Arabidopsis thaliana: one gene and its partner. The protein of the gene in region 2 interacts with the protein of the main gene of each other region in a pairwise test. Each region holds a gene or a part of one and is shown on either strand. Other genes may lie near its edges. The genes, in order: LTO1 and FKBP13.

What was found.
Region 1: the proteins of FKBP13 (region 2) and LTO1 interact in a two-hybrid assay, tested with the Arabidopsis thaliana proteins (one study listed by BioGRID).

What each region holds. Positions count from the first base shown.
Region 1 is NC_003075.7:16,941,216-16,946,357, forward strand, and holds LTO1 (NAD(P)H dehydrogenase (quinone)s), read right to left. Parts: upstream 3,463-5,142; 5' UTR 3,408-3,462; coding exon 3,309-3,407; intron 3,233-3,308; coding exon 2,947-3,232; intron 2,667-2,946; coding exon 2,410-2,666; intron 2,314-2,409; coding exon 2,201-2,313; intron 2,051-2,200; coding exon 1,903-2,050; intron 1,819-1,902; coding exon 1,579-1,818; coding exon of another isoform or gene 1,518-1,578; 3' UTR 816-1,517; downstream 1-815. Other genes in the region: AT4G35750 (SEC14 cytosolic factor family protein / phosphoglyceride transfer family protein), read right to left, coding at 1-249, 336-459; SEN1 (Rhodanese/Cell cycle control phosphatase superfamily protein), read left to right, coding at 3,858-4,009, 4,102-4,298, 4,389-4,459, 4,560-4,613, 4,694-4,768. UniProt on the Arabidopsis thaliana protein: Thiol-disulfide oxidoreductase catalyzing disulfide bond formation of chloroplast proteins and involved in redox regulation and photosynthetic electron transport.
Region 2 is NC_003076.8:18,528,895-18,532,896, reverse strand, and holds FKBP13 (FK506-binding protein 13), read right to left. Parts: upstream 2,064-4,002; 5' UTR 2,004-2,063; coding exon 1,665-2,003; intron 1,572-1,664; coding exon 1,479-1,571; intron 1,396-1,478; coding exon 1,335-1,395; intron 992-1,334; coding exon 923-991; intron 834-922; coding exon 769-833; 3' UTR 560-768; downstream 1-559. Other genes in the region: AT5G45670 (GDSL-like Lipase/Acylhydrolase superfamily protein), read right to left, coding at 2,733-2,956, 3,042-3,297, 3,450-3,695, 3,844-3,968. UniProt on the Arabidopsis thaliana protein: PPIases accelerate the folding of proteins. It catalyzes the cis-trans isomerization of proline imidic peptide bonds in oligopeptides. Responsive of the major PPIase activity in the chloroplast thylakoid lumen.

The DNA of each region.
Region 1 (5,142 bases), on a different chromosome or scaffold from region 2:
ATCGGCCGCAGGTGGCGAGGAAGAGACGTGATTGAAGACCTGGATGGAGGAAGTAAACCTCCTGAAGATTGTCTCTGACGTTTACCGGAATTGCGTCGTAGATCGCTCGTAGAGCTGAGATACCTGGGAAGTTCTCGCTTCTCTGTACGCCGGTGTGGACGTAGAGTACGGCGAATGGTTTTCTACCTAATCGAGGAAATATCTTCTCCTCTAGATACTTCTTCAACACATCCAGTGACAGAAATCGAGCTGATTTCAGAAACAAAAAAAACTCAAATATAAGAACAAATCTACACAGAGAGAAAAAGAAACAGATCCGATTGATATATCAGTACCTGGGAAGAATTTTCCGATAATACGAAGGATCTTACGGCCACGTTTGTCTCTGCCATGGATCTTGAAGATCTCAAGCTTCTCGATCAGCTGCTCTTGTTCAATCTCCGAAATCTGAGAACTCATCGTTTCTCTCTCTCTCTCTCTCTTTTTTGTTTCGTCGGTGAAATTCACAGTTGAATTATAGAAGAAGAAGGGAACAAAAATTGAGGCGAGTGAAGAAGAAGATGATGATCATTTTAAAAAGGGAAAGACAAAAAAATAAAAAAAATAGTGTATTAATTGGAGGGTAATGGGAGAAACGACGGGCTCTTACGAATATTCTATAGCATCTTCCTTTTTATCATGATCTTCCTCACCTCTTTGTGGGTCCTACATTCCAATAATTATTACCTTTTTCGCCCTCTCTTGATCTTTCGTTGTTAAGCAACTAATCTGGTCCATCCGTTTTTGCTACATCTAACGGCTACTGCCTTTTTTGACTCTTTTCCCGCCCCCCGCCTTAAGCGTTACGTCTCATCACATGATTCATGTAGATTATTGGATAAGATGGGCGTTATTTTGGATCATCCCATCCGATGTTGAGTTAAACTAATCTGAGCTTACAAATTATTAAAGATTATAAAGATCTCTATGTTCATATCTATCCAATGCCCAATGGAATCTTTTAAAAAATATAAGGAAAAACATTATCTTCTGCATATTAAACGGATAATAACAGCGAAACTTGTGGATGGATCATTACAATAGAAAAATACCGAGGAGGCACATTCAAGGAAGGTATTCAATAGGGCACCAAATATTGTAAACGTAATTCTCTAAGTTTCCCATACATCATATATCTGCTACTACTCTACACGCATATATATACAAAATACATGTGTGACTCTCTTATATAGACCATACTTTTAGACATTATACTTACATAAAGCCAGTACTAGATGGCTGTAGATTCTCGAATTAATAGTACCCTAACATTCTTTGGAAGAACCTATGAATCTTTCAATTATAAAATAGTGATGCTCTGGTGTAGGCTAAGTGATACAGATGAAGTTGTAACCTCCTATGGCAACAATAAGCACTTTCATTACTTGAATTTGTATAGAACACCCTATAGCTATCAGGAGGATCAAGTAAACAACATTTACGGATTCACCTTAATATTTTCTGCACCAATACAAAATTTACTGAAGTTGATTGGTCTCATTTGCCTGATCAAGGCTGAATCCAGTCATCTCCGCTAGTTCAGCGAGTTCTATTTCTCCGCTTAAGACCTAATTTATAAAAGAGGTGAAATAGGTACTGACATGTGATGAAATGTACAAGGGGTTCAGAGGATTTACTCACCTTATCATTTATTATCCATGTTGGGAATCCTTCGATCGCAGCATCTGCACATGCCTTGAGTATCTTAGTTCCTTTCTTATATCCATCCGGAAAACATTCCACGTAGTTCAGTTCTTTTGCCGCTTCTCTTCCAAACATCTGTAGATGGATGGAACTATAATGAACATATAATAAAAGCATAAAACTGATTCTTGGCAAACAGGTGATGAATGAACTAACTACCTCTTTTTGCTCTAAGCAGTGAGAACACCAGAATGCCCCATACATTTTAGCTCCAATGGAGTTTAGATGTTTTGCTAAAGCAATAGCATAAGGGCTCGATGATGAACTGATCTCTGTTCTAAAATATGGCAGTTCAATGTCACCAGAGCTGGAAGGAGTGAAACAAAAAACGATCGGGATTAAAAGAGACCACCTGATAAGACTCATACATCTTTCGGAAGCTATTTGTTCACTACTCGTTACAAATGACTAAAATTTCTATCGGGACTCCCCAAAGAAAACTATGAACTTTGATTACCGTGAAGGGATTGGTTGAGCAGTACTGTAAGAAGCAGTCAAGGAGGCAACTACTATGATTGCTAAGCATATCTGCAATCCTACAACTTGCTGTATTTCTTGCAACTTCACATCCTACCACATGCATGGAGCACATTATCATAATCCGAAGTTTAGAAGTTATCTTGAGTCAACATCAGGAAAAAAAAAGAAATGGAAATAAAGGGATACCTTTACAGAGAGGAAAAATAGACTAAATGATAAGAAAGCAGACACCAGACAATACAGGCATGATGATCCTGAGAGTTTTGTGCTAAGGATATACAGGAAATATGCACTAGCAGATGCCATTGCAGTCGTGATCCCAAATAACGCGAAACGCCCATTGCTCTTACTGATTCCAAAAGGTAGATTCCCTTCCCCAAGCTCTGCACTTAGAGCGGTTACTACGCCATACATAACAAATCCAATCACTGGAAGAGGAACACCTGGCAAAATGTAAAAAAGGATTTTCATTGAGTTCAACTTACCTGCAATGCAATGTTGGACAAACAACGAAGACAAAGCACTACATAGAGTGGAGTGAAGCATGCTATTTAACTCTAACAATTCTATGCATACTAAGTACCAAAGCTCCTAAATGATATAGCTTCAAGCAAAGATTCACAGAGACTATCACATGCGAGTATTTAATCATGCCTACTATAAAAGAGAGGACAATTAGCTACATAAATCAAACGCTATAATCAATAAAGCGATGGATAATACCGAAAACGACGGCATAATCGCTGTTGAGGACATCACCGCAAGTGCCACCACCAATAGGGCAAAACGCATCGGAGCCAGTGACCTTGAGGTAAGTCAAATACGCAGTGTCTAACATCCCAATACCGCCGATTCCGGTGTACCAGTTGTATGTCGAACTGTTACTAGTAGATACTTCACTTGTAGACGATGAGGAGGAGGAAGACAGCGACGGTGCCGAATCCTCACCGTTTTCCGGCTCAGATGAAGAACATTTAATCGGAATCGCAGGAAATCTCCGATCAGAGACCTAATTCAGAACATCTGACTTCAAATGACCGATCACACACTACTGTCACTGAAGAAAACACATGACAAGAATTTACCTCGAATCGTCTAGGATAAGAAGTTACCGACGGAGGAGAAACCTCACGGAAGCCGAAATGAAACTGACAAGACGACACAGAAACAAACCTCGCCATCATCGTCGTCGAAGAATCGCTATTCCACCATTGTTAACTTCATCATCTTCTCTCCTCCGCTCCACTATCTCAGCCACTTGTTTCAATATTGGGCCTAAACGAGGCCCAAATACGATAATTTGGATCCATAATTAGTTTATCACAATTGGGCCTTACGGTCTTCTTATCCGTCCGAGTCAGCAAGTTATCCTCTTCAACACGACTCACGAGGCACCGAGTTGGACTTATCATGATTCATTATCTACGCATTGTTTACATTTTGGAATCGACTTTGGTACATAATTGAATTTATCCATAGAAATGATAGAGACTCGAAGATCGGACATAAAACTTGCTGACGTGACACCCATACCTTTGTGTCTGTATGTATTATATAAACGCTATAGAACTAAGAGAAGAAGTATCTAAGTAGCATCAAAGCATTCTAAAAGAAGTTTCAAAGAAGAAGTGAAAATGGAAACCACTGCTTTTAACACAACATCACGAATTGGAAACTGGTCATCGGCTATTTCTCCACCTCTACAAACATGTGGATCTTTCAAGTGCCAATTACCAACACGAAGAGGTGTTATTGTAGCTGATCTTCGAAACTCAAACTTCCGATGGTAAGCTAGCAATCAACGACGAGAATCGCCTTCTCTATCTGATTTTAGATTATGAATAAATATTAAATCTGAGTATTAACTTCTTGCTCAAGGAGGAAAGCAACGACAACAAGCAGAGGAAATGTTGCAGCAGAGGCAGTTAAAATTCCTACGTCAGTACCAGTAAGAGTGGCGCGTGAGCTAGCTCAAGCAGGATACCGCTATCTCGACGTGAGGACACCAGACGAATTCAGCATCGGACATCCGACTAGAGCCATCAACGTACCTTACATGTACAGAGTCGGATCAGGTTTTCATCACCGACCTTAAGGTTCCTCTTATGAGAAAGAGTGAAAATGAAAAACAACTTAAAACTAACACCAAGCCAAAACCGTTGCAGGAATGGTTAAGAACCCGAGTTTTCTAAGACAGGTCTCGTCCCACTTCAGGAAACACGATGAAATCATAATCGTAAGTTTCAGTTTTGACATTCAGAGACTAAATAAACCCCTATGAAGACAATCCCTTGTTTCACAAAATCTCTGATGCACGTAATAAACTACTTCTGCAGGGTTGTGAGAGCGGTCAAATGTCATTTATGGCCTCAACTGATCTTCTCACTGCTGTATGTGTGTAATATCACTTCAATTTATATAGCCGTTATCCGGTTTAGGACAAGCGGGTTTAATGTCGCCACATGTACAGGGCTTCACGGCGATCACAGACATTGCTGGAGGATACGTCGCTTGGACAGAGAATGAGCTGCCGGTAGAAGAGTGAAAACAATCATAGCCATATCACCTCCTGTAATTATCAATAAATTCTGTAGATGTTCTCAACGCAAGTATCAATCATCATTATTATTCTCTAAAACATAGTTTAACTGTCAAATCTATATTGGGTGAAAGCTTTACCGAACTTCGAACACCACAAAGTTTACGGACCAATTAAGGACGGGGATGCATGCCTACACACGTTTAGTTTTCGCCGTTTTAAAATTTTAATACTTAAACTAATTTTTAAATGATAATAGTGAAATTAACATTATTTTAGTTAAAAATTATTAATTACTTTCTTAAAATTTAAGTTTTAAATTGGTTTTAAATTATTATTCTTTAAGTTTAAGTGTTAAATTTATAAAATGATAGAAAAAC
Region 2 (4,002 bases):
AAGTTAATTATTCTTTTCTGATCTTTAGGATTCGAAAAAAGCAAAAACAACATAGATCACAGTTGGATCATGTTGAGGGTTCGAGTGGAAGATACTATTACTAAGCCATCCATCGGAGAGAACAATCATTTACCTTGTGAATAGTGATCGGTAAGATTAAAAGCCATCATAAAAACTTTGGCAAAAAAGAGAGAATAAATCTGTTACAAATTATAAATAATGTAACCCGACCGACATCGGAGTTTTGGAAGCCACCCCCACAAATTTACCGGTACACTAATCTGAAACATGTAATATTCTTCAATATTTTTGCCCCCAAGAAAGTTTATGTCTAGATCTTTGATCTCCCAATGGTCTCTATTTTATGCAACTTGCTCTGTTTAACGCTCCTTTTCTTGTGTTTCTACCGCATCTACTTGCTTCTTACGTTAGCTTATCAACGTTCTACTTCTAGTGTCTGAGAAATCGGGAACTACACTATACGACGTTTGGATAGATATGTCAGAGATCTTTTGACGAATTTTTTTTGTCTGAAAATCATTTCTCTGGATTTGAGTTTGGGTTTCCGGTTTTACTTGGTTTATTGAATTTTCATATTTTAGTAATAGATAAAAGGTAGAAAACCAAACAAAAGATAGAAAAAGCTGAGATATTCACTTGATTACATAGTAGAAAAAATAATAGACATATTTTTTTCTTCTATAAGGATGATTCAAACAAGAGTATGATATGGCTCAGAAAAGGCAAAGCAAAAGCAAAAAAGCTCTCTCAAGCTTTACCTATGTACTCAATGTCAAAGAGAAGAACCGAAGCTGGAGGAATAAGGCATGAGCCTGCGCGAAAACAAGTTTAGGCTTAGTTAATTAATTAGCTTATTATCAACAATATAACATAAGATTTTGTGATCAAAATATATTTTTACCTCCTTTGCAACCTGCGCCTCGATCACCATACGCGAGTTCTGGAGGAATCCTCAATGTTCGTTTCCCACCTGAAGAAAGAAACCAAATCAAAACTGCAGATTAGACCAACAGAGTTATATGATGTAAACATGACAATATTTCTGTTGAAATCAAATTATTTTAAACACTATGTAGACTTAAACTATATACCTCTAACATAAATATCTAAATATTATGGTAGAAAGTTATAGAGATTAGGATACAAACTGATGAACACTATCTAGTTACATACAAAAGATTCTTTCAGTGTTTCTAAGGTCTTATGGTCTAAGCATAGTGATGACCACTATCTAGTTTAGTTACATGCAACTAAAGTTTCATGTTTCCTCTGTATATGCTATGTTAAATTTTTTAAAAATTGAGCATATATACCAGTAAGCATAGGAGGAATTCCATCAGAGCCAAGGATTCCTTGATCCCAACCTTTTATCACCTGTATAGTATGTTTTCTCACATAATGTTAAAAGTTTAAACAAATGGGAGGCTTTGGCAAAAGTAATGTTTATCCTTGATTACCTCACCAACACCAATTCGGAAAGTAAGAGGTTTCCCTCGATTATAGCTACTATCAAAGACTTTCCCATTCTCCAACTTCCCTACATAATGTGCCTGCAATAAACATTCAAGAATCATCAAACATTCATAAAGAAATTGCAAAAAGTCATTGTAATTTGAGATATTATTGATATACTTAAAAATCACCTTGATTAGTTGCCCTTTAACAGCTTCAGGACCATAACCAACAACTTTATCACAAAAAGCAAGACCAGAAGGAGACACAGAGAATTCACAAGAAGTTGTTTCGGCTAATGCAGAAACATTATCAAGCAAGCCAATAGAGAAACCAAAACCAATAATTGCTTCTCTTCTACCACATGAGGATAATTGGGCAAAACTTAACTCAGGATCAGAAGAAACTTTTTGCTTGTTTCTCAAGTTAATAGCCTCTGCTTTGTTTAAGCTATTATTCACAAGAAATCTGCATTTTCTTTTCTCACTTGGAGGAGAACAAGTTCCAACTGAAAACCCCAAGGAGCTCATTATCTTCTCTATCCAGATAAAGAATAATCTCAAAGAAGATAATAAAAAAGCTTTGTGTTGGACAATCAGCAATCCTTGCTGGCAAACAAAGCAACCACACAAAATTGGGCTTCATCTTTTATCATATTTTCAAGATTAAAGCCTTACAGGCCCAATATGAATAGCTTTGATGATTAGTAATGTGTTGTAGAATTTTTAGCTTTTATCATCTAAAGTCTAAACCCTCTTAGATGATTCAAAAAGAGAGTAGTAATTCATGAACTTTTCTCTAAAGCCTAAATAATGCCTCAACTTTCAAGGCATTTTCAATTAGATCGATTTTTAACATTACCATATGCTACTATCATTTAAAAATCATGGTACACTATTTTCTTCTACCTTTTCATTTTTAAGTATTTAGTCAGTTAAATTAAAATTGCAATAAATTTAAAAACCAACCAACCAACCATGAACCACCCAACGACATTTCTGAATATGTTTGGTTTGAACTTCCTTCTTTGGTTCCACTTTCTTTTGTTTTGGAGCAAAGACGAACTAACACATTTGTAATGAAAGAATCAAATTTATAAAACTGTTAAGAGAAAAAGAGATAAACAGTAACTCCAAATCATTACATAAACAGTTATGACATCACACAACACAAACCAAATCACTTCTTCTTGAGTCCAAAACTCAGCTGCCATTGAAGAACTATCAAAATACTTAGACAACCAAAAGATCTTTCTCTCTTTAGAGAGATGCTAGCTGCTGAATATCATAAGGATGAGCATCAGAAGCAGCTTCTCGCTTAAAAGATCGTCTTCCAATAACAATATTCGCAGCTTCACCGGGATGAAACGCATCCCAAAACACATACTCATTCCTATTTAGACATGGTGCTTGACCTGGAAGACAAGTTATCTGTCCATTGTTCCTCCCAACTCCACAACATCCTGCATTTGTCACTCTAAACCCTGCAAAATTTTCAACGAAACTTTGAGCAAATCATCATAAGAAAAAACGTTTACTTCAATCACAATTTGATGATTGATCTATTACCGTAGCGAGCAGGGTTTGTAATAATGTCTTGGAAGATGCCATAAGCGTTGATGTAAGTGAATTTTGCATCTGGTGTGTTCTGGTTAAAAGCGTCGACTATAGATATGAGTTTGCTGTTAAAGATTCTGTTCGCTGAGTTGATTCTTTCGTCACACGTTCTTCCGTCTCTGCTGTTTTGAGCTAGCTCGTTCGGGCTGCAACCGATTGCCCCGACTCCTATCAACGCAAACTTCCTCGCTCCATTGGTATACAGTACCTGCTCCATCACAAAAAAAAACAGACATTAAAACCTTAATCTCTCACTCAGAGGATCAAGTAACATAAAGAACCAGAGTAGAAACTATAAAACAGAGAGGCAAAACCAGAGGAAAACTAAGAAACAGAGGATATAGAAGTGTGTATACGAACCCTGAGTTGTTCGGTGTAACGGGCAACGAGATCGTCGGCATAGGATTCGGGGGAGAACTGGTTACCGGTAGAGTAAAAAGTAGGCATGAAGTAGTTGTTAAGATAATCGTTACTGCCTAATCCGATAGAGTAAATGCATTTGCTGAGGTAATTCGAGGCTTCGTTTTGATCACCAAGTATGTTCACTACTTGTGACACAGTGTTCACGTGATTTGCTACTTGCCCTGCAAATGCTATTCGACCTCCCTGAGGAACAATAACAAGAACAAGTCAAGTTTTAAGAAGCTCTAGAACAAGATAAGCCAAATTCAAATATATCAAACCAGACCAAAACCAAAACATAAACCGAATAGTAATAGTTTTTTTGTCAAAGAGAAATAGTAGTAGTAGTTACCAATTGTCTGCCGGTTTCGTCTCGGATTCCGGCAGCAGCGGAAGCATAGTTAACTCCTCGGAGAATGTCTTGTCCTCTTGCAGAAGCGTAAGGTGTAATGTAGTCCTCGAAACCCAAAAGCTGAGCTAATGTTTTGAAAGAAACAGAGCAAAAAAATAG